Schizosaccharomyces pombe: one gene and its partner. The protein of the gene in region 1 interacts with the protein of each later gene in a pairwise test. Each region holds a gene or a part of one and is shown on either strand. Other genes may lie near its edges. The genes, in order: SPOM_SPCC550.08 and SPOM_SPBC1773.16C.

Region 1 (3,929 bases):
TTCAACTGAGCATTTTAATTTACTTTCATTCAATCCAACAGTTTCCTATTCACAATGACGATCGATTGGAGACAAATTGCTGCCAAATACTGTGCCCATCGAGATGGTAGTATTCCTGAACCTTTCAAAATTAAAACACTACCTAAGGATACCGTTTTGAATGTTACCAAAATTCCAAGTGAGTGTGGTCTCCTTACACCGAAGGAGATCGAACTCACTGAAAAATATGATGCGACAGCATTGGCCGAAATGATTAAGGATAGAAAAGTCACGAGTGTGGAGTTAGTCACTGCATTTTGTAAGCGTGCAGCCATTGCTCAACAACTTGTCAATTGTGTGAATGAACTCTTCTACGAGGAAGCTTTAGCTAGGGCCGCTGAGCTTGACGAGTACTATGCAAAGACGGGATCTTTGGTCGGCCCCCTTCATGGAGTGCCAGTTTCGGTGAAAGAGCATATTTCTATCAAAAATCACACTGCTACAGCTAGTTTTCTAGCGAAAGCCAACATTATTGCTGAGAAAGATAGTGATCTAGTTGCCACCGTTCGCAAAGCTGGTGCTGTTTTCTATTGCAGAACCCCCCAGCCTCAAGCTATCATGCATTTGGAAACATCTAGTAACCTTACGGGTGTAACCGTCAACCCTTTCAATCGAAAGCTCACACCAGGTGGTTCCTCTGGCGGAGAAGGTGCTTTGTTAGGCATTAAGGCGTCGGTGCTTGGCATAGGTAGTGATATTGGAGGGTCGATTAGGTCTCCTGCCGCTAACAATGGGCTTTTTGGCCTTCGCCCTAGTACCTTGAGATTATCACGCAAGGGTTGCCAAGGCGCTGTTAGTGGTCAAGAGACCATTCTCGGCGTAGTGGGTCCACTTGGTCGCAGCGTTCGTGACATGAATCTCTTTATGAAAGCTTGTATCGATAGCCAACCTTGGCTTGATGATGCATCGTTGTTACCAATGCCCTGGCGTTCAGTTGCCCCTCCTAAAACGCTCAAAGTTGGTATAATGCGTAGTGACAATGTTGTGAATCCTCAACCGCCTGTTGCTCGAGCCATGCAAATGGCTATTGATCAACTTTCTAAAAATCCCGATTTTGATTTAGTAGATGTAGAACCTTTGGATCACAAATATTCATGGGATCTTATTAGCGAAATGTACTGGCTTGATGGCGGAAAGGTTTATTACGATTTGTTTAACAAGGTGGGAGAACCAATTTTGCCTTTAACTGAATGGATTATGCATCAACCCAATGTTAAACCTCATGACATTACGGCCGTATGGAAATTGACTGCTGCTAGAGATGAATATCGCAATCGTTATTTGAAGCACCTTCAAGCATATGGAGTTGACGTTTTACTGACTCCAGTGGGACCTAGCCCTGCTCCTAAATTAGGGGAGGCAAAATATTGGACATACACATCTGTTTGGAACTTGCTTGATTTGCCTGCCGTAGTATTTCCTGTGACCACTGTTGATCCTAAGCTCGATGTTAAAGATGAGTCATACATACCGATGAATGAACAAGACGCAGCAAATTATGAAACATATTCCCCTGAAGACTATTTGGATGCTCCCGTAAGTTTGCAACTTGTTGGCAAACGTTGGCAAGATGAAGAATTACTGGCTGCCCTTGATAAAATTGTCAGCATGCTCTAGTAGGGTTATTGGCTTTTATATTTTTTGGAGTTTAATGATAATGGATATGTTCGTTTTATTTTTTTTTTATATACAAACTTTTCTATCTTTACTGTTCAATAGAAATGCGGTTTTTTATCAAATTGTTAGATGGACTTTGATTAAAAAAAGATGATAGGAGTAAGAACTACCGTACATATTTTGTTGTATGAAGAAAACTGTACAAGTAAAAAACATGCTATGTTATGACTTGAACAGTTTCCTGTCAGCTTTCTGGACTAGCTTATTAAAATTCGCACAATGATTTCTTTACAGATTTCTGCATAAAAGTATGAAAATAACTATACAAGTTCCTCAAGAAAAAGATAAAATAATCTTTGAAATTAAATTTCACAAAAAAAAATACTAAATGAAATTTGCTATATACTGCACCTTTGTTTGGGTTGATTGATTTTTCCAACAACGCATACCAAGTGTTTTTTGAATTTCTCATACCGTTTGGAAATTTTATATAGATAAGTTAGCTTAGTAAGGTAACCTTTAGGAAACTCAAATTAGAGCAGCCATACTTTTGTTTACCAGCATCGATCAATTTTCAAACATCTCTACAAACAACAATGTAGCACGTGTCTTGATTCATATACTTAAAGAGCTTTACTGTGTTTTCTCAAATGAGTACCAATAAATCCTATCGCAGCCATATACGGCTTTACGGTATTCTCCTTTAATTTCTCAATCGTTGATTAGAGTTGCGCGCCCTAATGCGTATTCCCAGCGTACAAACAAAGCGCTTCTCCATGGACAACTATCGCAAGCTATGGCCGAATATATGCCCGTCGGCCAAGATAGCACGGGTTAAGTGGTAGGCGAAAAACTTTGGCTACCATTGCTTAAGGGAATCTTCATTGAACTACGGCAATGAACTTAGCTCGCCGAAAGATCATGCCAAATTTCTTGTAATTTACTGGTATATATATGATGAAAATCTCGCTTCTAATTGCTTCAAAGCAAACGTGAACAATCACAGCTTCTTAAACGACAGTAGAAGATTATCGCGAATTACCAATTGCTCTTTCTAGTTTGCCAAATTGTGCTGGAATCACTCATCGATACATTTTTGTTTTATTTAGAACAGACTTGTATTTATATTTTGCGTTAGTGCTGTCTAAGTACATTACTCTTTAAGTACTGCTTCTTACTTTATCTTAAGTCTAAATCATGGCCGCTAAACGAGTTGAAGCTAAGGATTACAAAAAAGCTGCTGCTACTTTAGTAGATGCCTTCTTCGATGACCCTGTCTGCGTCTACCTTTGTCATACTACGAATGAACAGCAATTTAAAAAATTGATGACGGAGATGTTTGAGTATATTGTATATGCGCACATTATTCGCGGCCTTGTTCTGGAAGTCGGCGATTTTGCTGGAATTTCTTTATGGATGGGACCTGGGAATAACATGGATGATTGGTATTCCATTCTTCGTAGTGGTTTATGGCGCCTTAAGTATAAACTAGACGGAGAGGGTCGTAAGCGTTTCTTCAATGAATTTCTTCCTATTCTCAATGACACGAAAGCCGACGTTTTGAAAGAGCGTGATGACCATTCTTGGTATTTGGTCTATGTTGGTGTCAGCAGCAAAGAGCAGGGAAAGGGCTATTTGCGAAAGCTTATTGAGCCTATCTTTAACATCTGCGATCAGGAAGGTCTCCCTATCTATTTAGAGTCGAGCCATCTTCATAATCGTCCAATTTACGAACATTTTGGATTTGTTTACCAACAAAGTATCTACTTAACTCGTGACAACCAAAAGGTTCCTCTTGAGATTATGATTCGTGAACCTGAGACCGAATCCAAGGCTGAACAAAGTGCGAAGCCTAAAGCTGCTCTTAGTAAAACCGTATCTGCTTCGATTGCTGAGAAAGTAGAGGGTTCTCTCGCTGTATCATCTACTCCTGTTTGCTGAGCGAATCTCCTATTATTCGATTTTGCATAACCCTATTAACTCTTAATCTTAATTTCATTTTCTTATTTCCAGCCTAGATTCGAAATTCCTTATCCATTCAATCTCTAAACACTTTATTTAAAGCAGACAAATTTGGTTTTGCTATTTTTTATCTACAATCTGCATAAACACAATTTCTTTTCGTATTTTGAAAAATGAGCATACAGACTCGCTTAAAATCATAAACTAAGACAAATTACTTAAGTGTTTCTATGAAATAAAATAATAATCTACACAGAACAATCGTTACACAAGTTCTTAATATGAGTTTATTGTAAACTGAGTAGAATAGT
Region 2 (3,929 bases), on another chromosome or scaffold:
GATAGCATCGCAGACTCAAGCCAGCTCAAGAACTGTTTATCAATAACCGAAAACAACCAATATATTAAAAGTACTAGAAAATTCTAAAAAGTGATGACCTGGGCGTATAGGACAACCAGTCTAAGTAAGCATTAATTTTTCAAATTTACGAAGTCGTTGGCTAATTATAACATAACATATGAGCTATAAGTTATTTCATGTTCTCGCTAAATTGGAAAACCCGCAAACCGTCAGATTAGAAATTGTTGAGATAATATTGCCCGGTGAATGAATCGATCAAAAAATGTTAAAGTGATAATATATATTGATTAAAACCATTATATTGTACATAGAATCCTCACGACATAAATATTTTCCGATACTTGTCGTCAAAGTAAATTAACTTGCCATATATATATCAAGCATGCGCTTTGAAAACAGTAAGCGATAAGAACACGATACAGTAAGCATTCAAATAAAAGGACATATTTAAGCCTTTAAATTATTAGTATATAAATATTAAATTGAAAAACTTTCGCTCAAGGCATCAAATGTCCCAAACACACTTGTATTTTGCAGCGCAAGATATTGCTCAGCCGATTGAATAAAATTCTCAGTAATAACTGATAACCTCTCAGCAAATTCTCCACTGATATCTTTCATTTTTAAAAAAAAAGCATGAATAGAGTATAACCGATCAACGTCCTTGACGCATATATCAGCGTCCAAGTCGTCGTCTTCCAAAAGATGTGAAAAAACCGTCAAAAAAGGTGTAAACGGACAATAAAGAAACAGCCAAAGATAACAAATATTTTTTGAAATAGGATCAAGAACCACCAAAAATCCCTTAATAACGTCAATAGCTGCTCTAGCCGTGCTTAAACAAATTTTTGATCCTTCAATGCTATCGTCCGCGAGATATAAATAAATAAGTGTATTGCAATATGACAGATATATTTCCACGCAAGCTGTAAAAAAATGTTGCTTAATAATATCCAGTTCTTCGGGCAGCCCGTTACCTGCCTTAAGTATCTCAAAATAATGCTTCATTTCAGAAGGAATGGCTCTTTCAAAATTCAATATCTTTGTTTGAATGTTAGATATCACACCCTTTTGACCTTTGTCTAAAAAAACATTATTACTATTGTAGAGCTTAGTCCTTATTTCGTGTTTCAAAACGGTTAACGATATTTCACATGTAAATATTAAATCTCCTTGGACGTTTTCAGCAAAACAATGAGCATAATTAATGTCAGGGTATTTGCACTCAATTTCCAGATCTCCCAAAACGGGAGGGGTTCCGAAAATCAAGGATGTGGTAGTTTCAAAAATGTAGCATACCCAAAATATTCGTCTATGCAATTCTGCCATATCTTGGTCAAGATCTTTGTCTGTACTTTCTTTGTGTAAATTTAAATCCTTAACCATCAAACAAACTTGACCGCAAAGTTTTTTGCAGAGATTGTACAACGACAGATGACTTGCGAACTGAATCATGATCACTAATGCTTGAATTTTTTCGAGTTGCGGTGTGAGAAAAAAGCCAGGTCTTTGAATTAGAAACCAGGAAGTAGCAAAAAAAGACTCCGCCAATTTACTATTATCGACTCTTTTGTCTCGAGATACAGCCAAAGCCAAAATAGCATAGAACGAGACAATCCAGGCACCCTTGACCAAATTCTTGTCTATATATAACTTTTCAAAGCTTTCCATGTACTGTTTCTTATAAAATATAGGCCAATTACAATTGATAAATCTGAAATACCAATCCAAGCATGTTTTAGCCCAATCTTTGTCTGGAACATCTCGAAAGGCACTTTTCCAAGTAGGAAAGCTATGGGGGAATAAATCGTTGCTGCTAAATCCATTAGAAAAAAAATTGGTTCTCATAGTGTATGCCTGCAATTTTGAATCCACGAGAGCCCCTGCACTCAAAATCTGTGAAACCAAAGATGGAAAACCCCCGGGTTTCACTTTCCTCTCTGAGTCCTGCTGAGATCTTAATAAAGAGAAAAGAGCCTCTAGCTTTAATTCGAAATTATCAAAACGTTTATCCAAAGCTTTAACAGCATTTTTCAACTCATTGATTTCATTCTCTTCGTCGTTATCATGATCTGAAGTGCTGAGCGGAGTGTAGAGTATAGGATACCTTTCGTTTTCTTGTACTGCTGCTCGATTGTCATGTTTAACCCGCTTAACATAACGACACTCTTCGCCATATACCATACAATTTTGGCAAGTTAATTCACCATTGCATCTTAGCTTCTTACGCCTGCACAATTCACAAGCATTTCTGATCCTTTTCATTTAAAAATGTGAGTCTTTTTTAGTTATATATTTATGCTTAATCTTGTCAATTGCTGTATATATTAAACACAGACTAGTTGCGAATGAGTTTTGCTGTGGGCTTTACGAATGGTCCATATTGATAACTCAACCTAGTCACACAAGTTTGATAAAGGGTAACCAGTCGATACTATTCTGGTTGAAAAAAAAAAAAAAGTTTAATAGTAATCAATATGAAAGATGTCGGACATTTTGCAGATAATCAAACACGATATTGAAGCAACCCATCTTTAGCTGCAGTTGATAAGATGAAAACTACATAGCTCATTAGATTATACCATTTTAAACATGTCTTTACCGTATAGATATTACGAAGTTAAAAAAAAGAGGCATTTTTCTTAAATTGAGGAAAGAATTAAATTTGTACGTTGATAAACGCCAGTTTCGTCGAAGTGAAATTGAACTTACTCAAGCCAAAACTAGGAACTAGTCTGCCTGACTTTATGGTTCTACGTATGCTTATATAAATAATACGAACTAGAAATATTTTCTTCATCTAATGACTAGTTTATGAATTGATATTGAATGAAATGGAATATTTTATGCACACGCGGGAGGATATCAGTTCGGAACCAAAATATTCTGACTAATACGAACACTTAGATAGACATTTATCGAAGGATCGATTCATGTACCATACCATTTTAAATTGGCAACAGCAGTTTGTAGTAGCCTGATATCTAAAAGATTATAGCAGTTTATGATTTTAGCCTTAGATCTAAGATAATTCGACTTGCCAATTTAATCACCGTTGCTAGCATCCTACTATAAAATTATGCGAGCATGTCTAGTATACGCACGCAAAGATAAATATCTTCCAAATCCTTGAAATGGAATCAGATATTCAATTTTTCTGTAAAGTCCCATTTTGGAAAATGAACTTCTACTTTTACTTTTCCCTGAGAGGAGGAGCATCTTAACAAGTGAATAATAAATAGTTAGCTTTAAAAAATAAGGATGTGATAATCTTTTCAACTATGTAAGTTTGAACAGGCTGACCCAAAAAGCAGCATTCAAAATGACAGAATCTCTCATATGTATTCTTTACAGATACGTGCTCACAAAAAGCAACAACATAAAAATGAATATTTTTTATTAACATATACTTTACTTGTGTAGATGTAAAGGACTTTTGACTTGCATCAACAACCATTCATGCCGAACGGACCGTTGACTGGATTGGTGGGGATTCCTGTATCAAGAAATGTTTCAATACTTGCTAAAACACATTCCTCTGTTTTAGCAACCGTAAAATTGGTATATACACCACAATGTGGTTGGATGGTTACTTTATCGCATTCCAACCAAAATTTATTGGGAGTAGGTTCATTCAAAAACACGTCGAGACCTGCACGAGCAACTTTGCCAGATTTTATAGCCTTGATAAAGGCATCTTCATTAATTATTGCACCACGAGCTGTGTTAATAATATAAACTCCATCCTTCATTTTTTCAAATTCCTTCGTGGATATTAAATCGTGAGTTGCTGGGGTAAGAGGGCAATTAATGCTAATTACATCACTAGAGCTTAGCAGTTCATCGAAAGAAACAAAAGACGCACCTAGTCTTTTCTCTTCCTCTGCCTCCAGGCGATTTCTATTATG

What was found.
Region 2: the proteins of SPOM_SPCC550.08 (region 1) and SPOM_SPBC1773.16C interact in a two-hybrid assay, tested with the Schizosaccharomyces pombe proteins (one large-scale study listed by BioGRID).

The regions. Positions count from the first base shown.
Region 1 is NC_003421.2:1,198,136-1,202,064, forward strand, and holds SPOM_SPCC550.08 (N-acetyltransferase), read left to right. Parts: upstream 1-2,093; 5' UTR 2,094-2,853; coding exon 2,854-3,597; 3' UTR 3,598-3,890; downstream 3,891-3,929. Other genes in the region: fah2 (fatty-acid amide hydrolase), read left to right, coding at 55-1,656.
Region 2 is NC_003423.3:318,195-322,123, forward strand, and holds the start of SPOM_SPBC1773.16C (transcription factor), read right to left. Parts: upstream 2,372-3,929; 5' UTR 2,287-2,371; coding exon 499-2,286; 3' UTR 1-498. Other genes in the region: gor2 (glyoxylate reductase), read right to left, coding at 3,468-3,929.